Linked DNA regions of Neodiprion lecontei. The protein of the gene in region 1 interacts with the protein of each later gene in a pairwise test. Links are inferred from orthologs where the notes say so. Each region holds a gene or a part of one and is shown in the gene's direction. Other genes may lie near its edges.

The links.
Region 2: the proteins of ER membrane protein complex subunit 2-A (region 1) and ER membrane protein complex subunit 8/9 homolog interact in a two-hybrid assay, tested with the Caenorhabditis elegans proteins (3 studies listed by BioGRID). The link is inferred for Neodiprion lecontei from reciprocal best matches to the Caenorhabditis elegans genes emc-2 and F25H2.4.

What each region holds. Positions count from the first base shown.
Region 1 is NC_060260.1:5,298,351-5,304,008, reverse strand, and holds ER membrane protein complex subunit 2-A, read left to right. Parts: upstream 1-1,581; 5' UTR 1,582-1,728; coding exon 1,729-1,762; intron 1,763-2,267; coding exon 2,268-2,381; intron 2,382-2,482; coding exon 2,483-2,633; intron 2,634-2,747; coding exon 2,748-2,891; intron 2,892-2,966; coding exon 2,967-3,123; intron 3,124-3,252; coding exon 3,253-3,348; intron 3,349-3,454; coding exon 3,455-3,628; 3' UTR 3,629-4,352; coding exon of another isoform or gene 4,353-4,514; 3' UTR 4,515-4,649; coding exon of another isoform or gene 4,650-4,776; 3' UTR 4,777-4,921; downstream 4,922-5,658. Other genes in the region: uncharacterized protein LOC107223771, read right to left, coding at 1-256; tRNA (guanine(10)-N2)-methyltransferase homolog, read right to left, coding at 4,353-4,514, 4,650-4,776, 5,077-5,275, 5,415-5,553.
Region 2 is NC_060261.1:27,859,645-27,865,846, forward strand, and holds ER membrane protein complex subunit 8/9 homolog, read left to right. Parts: upstream 1-1,875; 5' UTR 1,876-2,058; coding exon 2,059-2,268; intron 2,269-2,456; coding exon 2,457-2,533; intron 2,534-2,964; coding exon 2,965-3,034; intron 3,035-3,304; coding exon 3,305-3,399; intron 3,400-3,483; coding exon 3,484-3,658; 3' UTR 3,659-5,657; downstream 5,658-6,202.

The sequences.
Region 1 (5,658 bases):
CAAATACTGGCCCTACAGGGTACGGCGACTGAGAAGCCACAGGATTCGGTGGTGAATGGATGGGATTTTGTGCCGGTTGAGAAAGGTTCAACTGAGGCTGCTGCGCTGGCGACGTGCTCGCCTTGATCAGAGCTTCGATTACCTGTTCCTTGGGGTGAGTATCCAAATGCTTTTGCAAGCTTATACCTTCGCGTAAATACAAAGTGCAAACGGGACAGGCGACTGCCCCTGAACTCATGCTACTTCCAAGCTCCATTGTATGGGTTTTGACAAAGACTGCGTTGGATTAAATTCTTCGTTTTTCAATATCCTTTCAGCAATATATATTTCACGTTGCAATTCGCGTACGATGAACTTTATCACGGACAAGGAACCGAGGGAACAAGGAACGAAACGCGATGCACCGGACGATTAATACACACAAACACAACACTAGCTACGAACCACCGTTGTACGAGAGTTTCGCCCTCGCGTTATTCTTTATTTAATACTACTTCGCTATACTCGCGACCCTGATTACCAACATATTGCCTTTTATCAGGCCTTTGACGATGTTAAATGGTCATATTTCAATGTCCGTACGGACTGTGCCCCAAAAATATCGACGTCCATGGCTGCCTAGTTGCTCGGTCGTGTGCGTTACAGCCAGCACAGCACTTGTGCGGGCAAATCGATATCCTATTAATTCACGAGCCTACCATCCACCCGTTAAATTACACCTGCCTTTCATCCAATCGTCACTATTACTACACGGTTAAACACGAACCGATTTTTCCATGTCTACACCTTGAGCTTTTTTCAACCATTTATTATCAAAGGGACATGTTTTTCGTACAGTTACAGCCCAAAAACACAACAGATAACAGCACGAGCAATATTCCAACGAGGAATGAGAGCGACAAGAAATTATTCCACGAGCTGAGCGCCACCCAGATACTACTATCCGCTGCCATCTGTATCAAAACATTCAAACACCTGTTCTACTCCCGACCTTTGTTATATGTATTTTTAGCTGTTTCGCAAAAATTTAAATATTTTACCTATCCTACCTACGGATGCGCACATATTTCGTTACTATTTGAGATTACGATTTTTTAAATCATATTTCTAGTTAGAAGCAAAAAATTCTATATTAATATTTAAGATTCATAACTTAATTTATACCACAATCTCAAATACAGTTTTAAATATTTTGCAAAATGTTTTCATCCCCAAACTCTACACATGACGATGTACTCTTTAGTGCATTAAATGTACTTTCACGCGCTAATATCCATTACTCCACATTGCGGATCCAGTAATTCATCGAGGAAAACTATAAAATCTCTCGTGCTTACAATCAAACTCTACGTACAAACGGATGAAAAATATTGTTAAACCTTCTATTAGCGGTATAAAACAACTAGATTAATTAATCTATATCATGCGGATACGGCCTGCACGTCGAATGATAAATATGTGTTCAGTGGTGCATACATATGACATACGTACATAGGTATGTGTACGTATTACGTATATTATATACATGTTGTTTTTGAATTGCAATGCGCAGCCTTCTAGATTCGGTAAAGAGTGAGTCAAGTTTTTGTGATCGCGTTAGTTTGACAGAGTAAATTTTCTGCTAACTCTGTCGTATAACCTCGATTTAAGTAATCAACTTTTATTGACCAATTGACTGAATAATTTTTCGTATTGTTGGCTGTTGGTCTTCTGTTCGGTAGATAAAAAATGCCATGGAATTATGATAATATGTCTTGGACAGGTACGTCTTTATAATAAGTTGATAAATTGACGATGACATTGTCCTCTTTACATGCACATATTGAAAAATCAAACCTAAACTCAGCTCGATACTCGAGCTTACATGCCTCTATTTGTCAAGTAAGTCAATATGTAACGCTAATGTATCAATATTCATTTTTCTGAATTTCATGCTACATATTGCCTCATTACCCAACTATTACATAATCAACTAGATTTAAATACATATTTATATATTATCATATGTATTAAGACAGGTATTTTACATAACGTGTATAATATTTAATTGGGGACACGTTGTACGAGCCTGAGATTTCAAAAACAAAATCATAAAGCTATATCTCGCTACAATATCACAGTTGCAAATTTTTGTTTCATACTAAATATGATGAAAAATCAAGTATCAGACTAAATGCAAATATGTGCATGCATAGCCAACTGCATCGCAGTACTTTACCGTACGTAAAAATTTATACGGCTAATCAATTTTCAAATCAAATCCACAGATGTACGAGACTTGTTCAGAACTTGGCGAGAAGATTCTGAACGCAAGAGTGAAGATGTGGTTGAGCTATGGGAATCCATATTAATAGAGAAGATCCATAAATTAGGAAACGAAAGTAAAAATCCTCATAATAAATATTTATTCATCTAACCCTTACCTAAAATGAAATATTACGTGAAAATTGACCTTCATATTGCGGTATTTATTATTTTATAGAATATTTAGTCTTAGAACAAGTGTGTGTGGCTGCCTTGGATTGCAATCGTTTATCAGTTGCCAAAGAATGTATTGATTTATTGGAGCAAGAATTTCCAGGCAGCCTGAGGGTGCTGAAATATCACGCAATGCACATGGAAGCCTTGGAAAAGTATTACATATAACCATTTTACATTAACTTTATAATGATGCACTGAAAATTGCCATGATTATATATATTCTATGATCTCTAATTACTTGGCACAAATAATGTGTTCATTTGCAGATACGATGAGGCCCTCAAGATTTTGGACTCCATAATCAAAAGAGATGAAACTAACGCAGCACCAAGAAAAAGAAGATTGGCAATTCTAAAGGCACAAGGTCGAATAACTGAAGCTATAAAAGAACTCACCGAGTATTTGAAAAAGTTAGTCATCCGCATCAGGAATTAGTTGTAAAACCTGTTACTCATTTGATTAAAATACTGACATTCTCTAAACAGGTTCATGAGTGACCAAGAAGCATGGCACGAATTGTGTGATTTATACCTGCAAGAGCAAGAGTATGCTAAAGCAGCTTTTTGCATGGAAGAATTAATTTTGCACAACCCTCATAGTCATTTGATTTATCAGCGATATGCAGAAATTAAGTATACCCAGGTTAGTGAATGAACGCATCTCTTCTGTAGTATTACCTAAATAGAAATGAAATATTCACTTCAAGTAAAGATTAAGTACTCTAATTTTGCTGTCCTATAAATTTAACAAATCTAATATTTTATCATCTAGGGTGGATTCGATAATATGGAATTGGCAAAAACTTATTTCGCTCAAGCAATCAAGTTGAATCCCAACAACGTACGAGCACTTTATGGGCTATTATTGGTAAGTTTTCAGAAGTGTTCTCTATATAAGCAAATTATATTAGGGCAGAAAATTTGTCGGAAATAGTAGACGATTTGAGAATAATACTATCTGCTAACTTAAATAGGTGGCAAACAACATTGCTTTATCAGCAAAGTGTCCTGCTTCAAAGAAAAAGGATGCAATAAAGCTTGGCAATTGGGCTGCAACTCAAATTCAGAAAAGGTATGCATTAAAAGCGACAGAAAAAGATGTTAAAAATGTTGTAGATGTACTAGGGCAATTACAATTAGAGTCATAGACATATATTATATGAATGTATATGTATTTGGTACGCTGATGGATGTACGGAGAGATGCTATCTACTGATGTGTTTGAAACATTGATCCATTGGAACTATGAAACCTTCCTAGTATATCACATATGCATACAGTATACATATTTATCAAGTTAAGTATACATAAGTATACACACTGCTTATTTGCATTTTATTTGAACTCCACATGGTACGTAAATATGATGTATTTCGTGTATGGCACTGTTGTAAGAAATTATCTTTCCAGTAGTTGTATTTCCTATTTGTGAAGGTTTCTAAAAGAATATGTTTATATTGTTATTTAATATTATTCATCATGAATATTAAATTTATTGAATGAAAAAATAAATAATAATACCGATTATTTACTGTCGGTCTGACAAAACATGAGTTCATAGATTTGCTTTTGACATCCATGGATGTCTACGTATGTTTTGAAACGGGATCTATACGTGAAGAGCTTTTGATGTGACGGTACATGAACAACATTTAGGCGACCTTGAGAATTGAAGTCGAATAGCACCTTTAAAAATACTGTGGTATTTTGAAAAAAGACCACGTTTGCAATTTCTACTCGCATGATGTCTTTGCTGAGAAATAATAAATGGTAAAAAAATATTTTTATTCGTGTAAAAGTGCGTTTTAAATAAAGTAAAAAGCAGGTTTGTTAAATAAACTTTTACCACTTTTACATATAAAAAAGATTTAGTCATCTTGCAGTTTTTGACTTAATATTTTTTTCCCAATTCTCTTTATTCTTTGCCCTCTGTTCTGCTCTCTTCATTCTTCTTTCTTTTCTTGTTTCATCTCCATGTCCGAAATATCTTACACGGAAGTCTAATACATTCGAATCATCAATTGGATCATCATCCTACAAAGAACAAAAACTGTCAATCTTACGCTTAGAACAAAAATATATAGGATTCTGTAAGGTTCATTTCAGACAGCGAAATGAAATCTTTCTACCAACTGTTCAAATTTGCAAATTCATGATGCTCCTATGTACCTGAGGATCTCGAATTTTCTTATAAGTGAGCAAGCGGCGACTTGTATATGTACTCAGAATCTGTTCCGAATTGGCAATTAATTGCAAACATGGATGTGAAGGAAGCTGCTCGTCTGCATAGTGTTCCCTGTAGGATCATGTATACGTTCAATTACATGACATTCAACACAGCACATTATTTTTATTACTTAAATTATTAATATGTGCAACATTTGTTGTTTATGGATTGTTTGTATTAAAATAAATAAAATTAAAACATATTTTGAAATACAGCAGACTCGGCTTAAAGGGTCTTAGTAGCAAATGGAACCTTGTTTTTTTTTTTCAGAATTATCAAAAAAATATATAGTCATCGAAAATTTCAACCATTTGATGTCTGCAGTCTGTTGTCAGTTTATCATAAGTCTCATATTTTTTACGTTCTTACCTGAACAAAGGAAACCAGCATACCAATCTGCCGTTAATACATAAATGATTCGCAGCAAATGAGAGCAGATCAACGAACATCTGAGGCAGCCCGTAGTCAATCTTAGAAGGTATATGACTAGCTACTTGATGCTGGTCGATTACAGGCTGTCTTTTTATGGTACCTACACGCTCCGTTGCTTCTCTTATTCCATATGGAGCTGTGCAAGATTTAAGATGATTTTAAAGCTGAAATTCAATTGCTAAGAAGTTTTCGGATTCATTACTATTCGCAATGTCGATCGATTTTAAACTCTTGTATTGTATGCCCATCATAATAATGTGATGCATTGAACCTACGATCTGTGATAATTGCATCGACTCTCATGTCTGAACGCCAGACAGGTAAAGAGAAATCTGTCACTAAGACATCGATGTAATATGAACTTGTTCCATATTGCTTCATATTCGATGCTATACTTTCGTCTTTCCCTCTGGTCTAAAAAACAGAGAGAGTTAAAGGCATTCAAGCTCTTGCATTGGCATGACCGTAACATGGTTTTAGGACCATCGTTGTTTCCGGTTAATAACAATATTGAGCAAT
Region 2 (6,202 bases), on another chromosome or scaffold:
TTCGTCATGTACTTTCATACAAAAAATTATAAACCCAATTTCAGACATCGGCGTAGAATTTTAATCCTGATGTAATGGAATGCCTCATATACAAATTCAATGTTTATCAGTTTCTACGATAAGCATCGCTACTTGTGATGGATCCAGAGTGGTGCAATCGAATCGATGTTTTGTTCCACTGATAAAAGAGTTACATTCAACTCTTATTTATCTATACCTGCGATTCGCGGGTATGCTCGAAATATTTTATTATGGATTGACCCTGAGGTATTTGAATTGAATATCAACATACTAGATGGATCCGTATAACTACAGAAGCTACAAGTTTTCGTTCTGTAACGATCAGTGAATGACAGCCTAATTTACTTGTTAAGATTTGTAAATTTCTTTGAAATTCGCTATTCAATATTAACATCGTTATAAACATTATGTGTTGAAATGTACATAATTAACTTTTAAACTTCATTTCGATTTAACACAAGAATTTTAACGCATATGAGATGCCCCGATTGCAACCATTATTTCTAATACTATGTACAAAGTTATTCTACATATAGTTAATATTAACGTATAATATAGTCACACAGATAATGTTTGAGCGAAATAATTTGGTTTAGGTTAAAAAATTTTCATGATCTTCGTATGTGTGACAATTTTGAAATTGCTGGGATCGGGAGCAGTAGAAAGTATATTTGATTATAATTTTTGGCCTTTTTAGTGAAGACATACTAATATAAATACCTGATTATGCATTGTGATGGCATTAACATTTTGCGACATTTATACAGCATTGGGGGCTGTTAGGATAGTGATTTGAAATGGCAAATATCATATCGGACAATTATTATCTTCCTTGAAAAAAATATTTTACGTTTAACGACGTTCAACAATTTTACTGTTTTCTGAAATTCATTCGAAGAATCTGAAAATCTAGGACTGTTAATTGGAAATGTGAAAAAGTGGAGAAAGTGAAATAGTGAGATGAAGTATTGGGACTGCGCGCAATCGATTTCTCTCGAAAAAATGCGTCGATAGAGTGTATCAAAGAATTGATTCAAGTATTTTTCAAAATCGGCCAAATTTCGACTGAAACAAGCCTTTGCTTTTTTTTTTGCGATTTTCAAAGCTCGAAACTTTTCGTCTTAGAATCGTTTTGCAGAAATATTTTTCGACTAATTGAACCCTCAGGAATGCAGAAAAGACATCAAAACGAGCGTAGAACCAACAGCAGAGGAATTATGAACGATATTTTACGTTTTTCGGCTGTAACTTTTGAAACGTTGCTTGCAGCGTACTTCGTAGAACTGGTCTATAAGCTCTATAAGTAGCTGTTCGACATATAAGAAAGTAATCCAATTCATTCTCGTTATTCTAGAATCATAATACATGTAATGCATGGAAATGAATCAAGTGCTGATATATTTTTTATTATGGTTTATTGTTCATAAGAAAGCCCCTGGACACCCCGCAATATTTTTAGTATAAACTATACGCGGTAATAAACGTACGAAAAGACATCTTAATTATGCACGACTGCACGATTCGGGAATAATGAGAATGAATTAAATTATTTTCCTACCTCGAAAAACTATTCCCGTTTATTCGATCTTCTTCTCGCTCATTCATTTTCTCCTTTTGTTCACACTTCCAATCAACAATCCTAGATTTTTCAATTCTTAAGACAAAAACGCAACTGAGAACCACTGATTCAATTACGTAATTCAGACTCACGGCAATTCGCCGTTGCGTCGGTATTCATTTTCATGAACGTCATTCTGCCGCCGCAGTCGCGTCGATTTGACGCCCGTGTAAATTCAGCCTAATTCGTCACTGACAGTTATTGGTTATGAAGAACTTCCACTTACCAGCGGAGTCGGTAACTAGGTCGGTAATTCGTGAAACTGCTTTTACTCCCCTCAGGAAAAATAACCCAGGGCTAACTTCATGTGCATATTTTCAGTCATACATAGCTAACGTAGCTAGTTGTCAAGTGTCAGTGGTCGAGCATAGTCTGTGTTTTAGAGCTCTTCGTGAGTGAAACAACCGAAGAACGCGAGCATGGCAGAGGTTAGATTTTCGGTGCGTGCTTACAGCAAGATAGTTTTACACGCAGCGAAATATCCCCACTGTGCAGTAAACGGTTTGCTACTAGCGGAGCAGAAACCGAGGGATGCCTCCAGATCGAAAGAACTCTACATCGTCGATGTTGTGCCCCTTTTTCACCTCTGTCTCCATGTATCGCCGATGGCCGAAGTCGCCTTGACTATGGTTATTTTACCTACCTTCATTGTTATTTATCATTCACGTATCAGCTATTCGTATACCTGGCACAGGTCCGCGGTTACTTGACTCGCAATTAGAACTGCAAAGTTCATATTTGAATTCAGTATTTTTCACATAACAATGATGATCTTTTATAATTTCTAACTTGTAACATTGTTTCTTGGTTACTGCAGGTCGATCAAGTCGCTGCTCACCAAGGTCTGCTAATTGCTGGTTACTATTTGGCTAACGAGAATTTATTCGATTTGAGGTACGTATTGCCAGCTTTGAAAAGTCCATTGAAACTGGATATTTGATATGTCGCACCTGAAGTTCCAACCCATCAATCTTATCTGTAAAACTTGACCGATCACTAACAATAAGTTTCAATACTAAACTGATATGGGTCAATGTGATATTCAACCTGAAGTATGTTTCTTATTCATAGATAGCTTGCCAAGTTCCTTTTATACTGAAAAAAATTATCAGAGCTTAGTATTAGTGATAACTTCAGGTAATTCGACCTAAGAGAAATTATAAATCGAAAAACCAGTCAAAAAATAATGTCGACCACTATTTCTGAAGCCTCGTCGTGTGTTTCGATTGTCCTGATCGAACTGAAAAGAACAAGTCTTATATTTGTGTTCATCGCAACAATAAATGATGCTTTTTATATATTAAATGTTGGTGTGATTTTTTTAGCGTGGACAAGCCAGCTCACAGAATAGCTGACAAAATAGCGGAGAGCTATGCTTCTGCCTTATTAGTTGTGGTGAGTATGCAGGAAATTGGCAATTGTGACAATCTGACCCAATTTAGATATCCTTTGGTTCAGTTGTCATTTCTATTTCCTTGTAGAATATAAAATATTTTTGTGAATTCTATTATAAATTTTGACAATCGTCAGAAGATAAGATATTTCTTATTATTAAAGAAAACCAGTTTTGGTACGTATCATGAAAATTTTAAATGCGATATTACATGCCTAATAAGTTGTACAGCAGAAGGGAAAGACATTTTGAAAAGACTTTAAAAATTATAGGTCGACAACAGGAAAGTTACGCTTCGCATGGAAGAGAATCCTTTGAGAGTTTCACAAAATGTAGATGGAAAATGGAAACCTATAGAGAAAAATAAGTATGGAATATTTATTGTACCTGATAACTAAGCACCTTGGTAACGATCAGCAAGTAATAACAAAACTCGTTATTTTACTTATAGGATAAACTTAGATAAAGATGTTCTAGAAGGAGTTTCGACGATGTTGCAAGGGCAAGATTACCGTGATCTTGTCGACTTCGACAATCATCTCGACAACATATCCCTTGATTGGCAGAACAACGAATTAAACAAAATCATTGACGAAGCAATAGAGGCTGTTGGTTTAGGTTCTTAATTCACTTGTGCGAAATAGTGCCTCACGAAAATTCCACGGTACTGTTAATTCCCAAGAGGAAAAAGGGGAATAACTTGGAGAGTTGTTGCAAGCCTGGAAAACTGAGCAAAGTGAGGGAATTTTTCAATATACAAAAAAAAGTTTGGTGAATACGGCTGAAAATTTTTATCTGGATTCGGAATTCACGTCGATCATTGACATAATCATGAATAATGCAAGTGAATGTTTCAATTTGCATGTCAATTGGTAAATTCATTCGCGTTCTGATTTGTACGACAGTCATATTTTATCTAAATATCAACAAAACATGCAACAATTTGAATATTACTCGTTCCAGCTTTGTATTCTAGAACATAACGTTATCTCACATAGGTTCTGTAAAATGAATACGCAGTTCGCCACACATTCCGTATAAATGGTACTAAAATCGTATTCAAGAAATATTCTTACTTGGAAAACATATAAAAATGATAAATTTTTCAATGAAAAATTTGTAATAACCCTGAACTTTGCACAGAATCTTTGAGTACCATAATTTTACCAATGTTATGTTCAGTGAAAATAACCTAATTTAACAAAAAAAAATTCTATATTTGTCTGCACCTTTAAATCTTTTGTGTCCTATTCACAAAGTCTATAATAAAACATGCAGACCTCTAAAACCGACGTTCGAAAGACTATTTCAATGTTGCACGTCTATTCTTACACATAGGTGCATATTATGTGAGTAGGAGAAAAGACGAATTTTGATATGATTGTGAAAGAAATGTTTATTCGGTTTAAGCTTCTCACAAATGATTTTTTTGTTCATTCTACAAAATTTCAAGTTATTTGTAAGAAATTTTACAAAGTAGTTCGCTTGTATTATTTTATTTGTTTTTTTTTTTATTGTTGTTGTTATTATTATTATTATTATTTTTTGTTTTGTTTGTCAGATTTTTATCACTTTTCTTTTTTTAGCAGTATACGATACATAATTAAGCCATCGGTTATTTAGTCTACTCTTTTAACTTTATAGCTGTTCAGCTGTACACAAATTACCTACACCTATGTCCCTCGTCTCGCCTTTCTCACACTCATTCCTCGATTCTCCGACCTTTTTTTGTTTGGTGACATATTTCTGATTACTACGTGCCCTTGAAATTCATTTGAATCGCACACGAGTGACACAAACAGTAATAGAAATTTCAACTTTTCATTTATTCAGGTACAAAGTTCTTGAAATTTTATTTTACATCGGTATCTATGTACTCATTCACCATACAACAACACTCACCGGTTGTTTAAAACTGCGGATCGCGCCTCTACATCTCTCATTAAAAAAAAAAGAAAAAAAAAAAAATTATACTTATTATCTGTATGCTGTTTCGTAGATTTCAATTCTTTAGACTTTATCTGCTTGTAAGCACAGACTGGATATTTAATCATACCTTTCCTTAAAATACATTATTATGAGGTTGAAACAAATGATATTTACTTTTTCTTTGTGAAAAAATTATTTTTCCTTTTCACTGGAAATAAGAAAAAGAACTTCCTTGTTTCCTCGCTTTCGAGTGCACACCATGTGGTCAAATTTTGCATGAAAACGTACGAATATGTGAGCCAATAAACAGTTTTTCACATCACCTTATTTAATCTCGCGAAAACGAAAATAGGCAAGAATAATTCTCTGCACAATTTCTTTCCAGCTCTATTTTATGGGGTGCGATAGATACGTGCAATAATTTATCACAACCATTTGTTTTCTTGCCACTCAATGCGATCTACTCTAAAATCGCCGTAGTTAATAACCTCCGATAAATTAATAATTCACTTCATGGCTTGTAGTTTGTTTCTATTTCTTTAACTTAAGATATTATAAATCAAACTGCAACTAGCCTCGTGTTCTTTGATCACTTGCACTGTTTGATTATGTTTAGCTTAAACTCGTCGTCATTGCTGTGGTATATTATCCATATACTGTCGGTAATATTTGCGATTTTATTTTTATTTATTTTAATGTTTTGTTGAAAAATAGCACCCGTTAACATTAGTGTTATTCATCTATATATAATTTACGTATAATATGTATATTGTTATTTTTCATACCATAACGTTATATATATATATATATAACGTTATGTATATATATATTGTTGTATTTGTCGAAGAATTGTAATTTGGATAGTAATTTAATTTTTTTTTCTCACAATTTTTAAAAAATCTCGTCAAACTTAACAACACGATATGATCAAGCATATATGTATACATATATTATTACATATATTTACGCACCTACTTAGAAAAGTAGGATTTAAAAAACTTCTTTAAATTTATAACCTATTTAACATTTTTTTTGTTAGTGTCTTACTTACATTTATGTCTAGCTCTACACGTAAAAATAGTGGCATACTATTCACTAAGGCATCGATCAAGCTATCGCAGATTTTTCTGACGTCTCTATGAACTATACACAATGGTGCTATAGCTGCTTCGTGCGACATTAATATTATTTAATTTATTAACTGTTACATCGTCGTTATCATAAATATTAATTTTGAACCC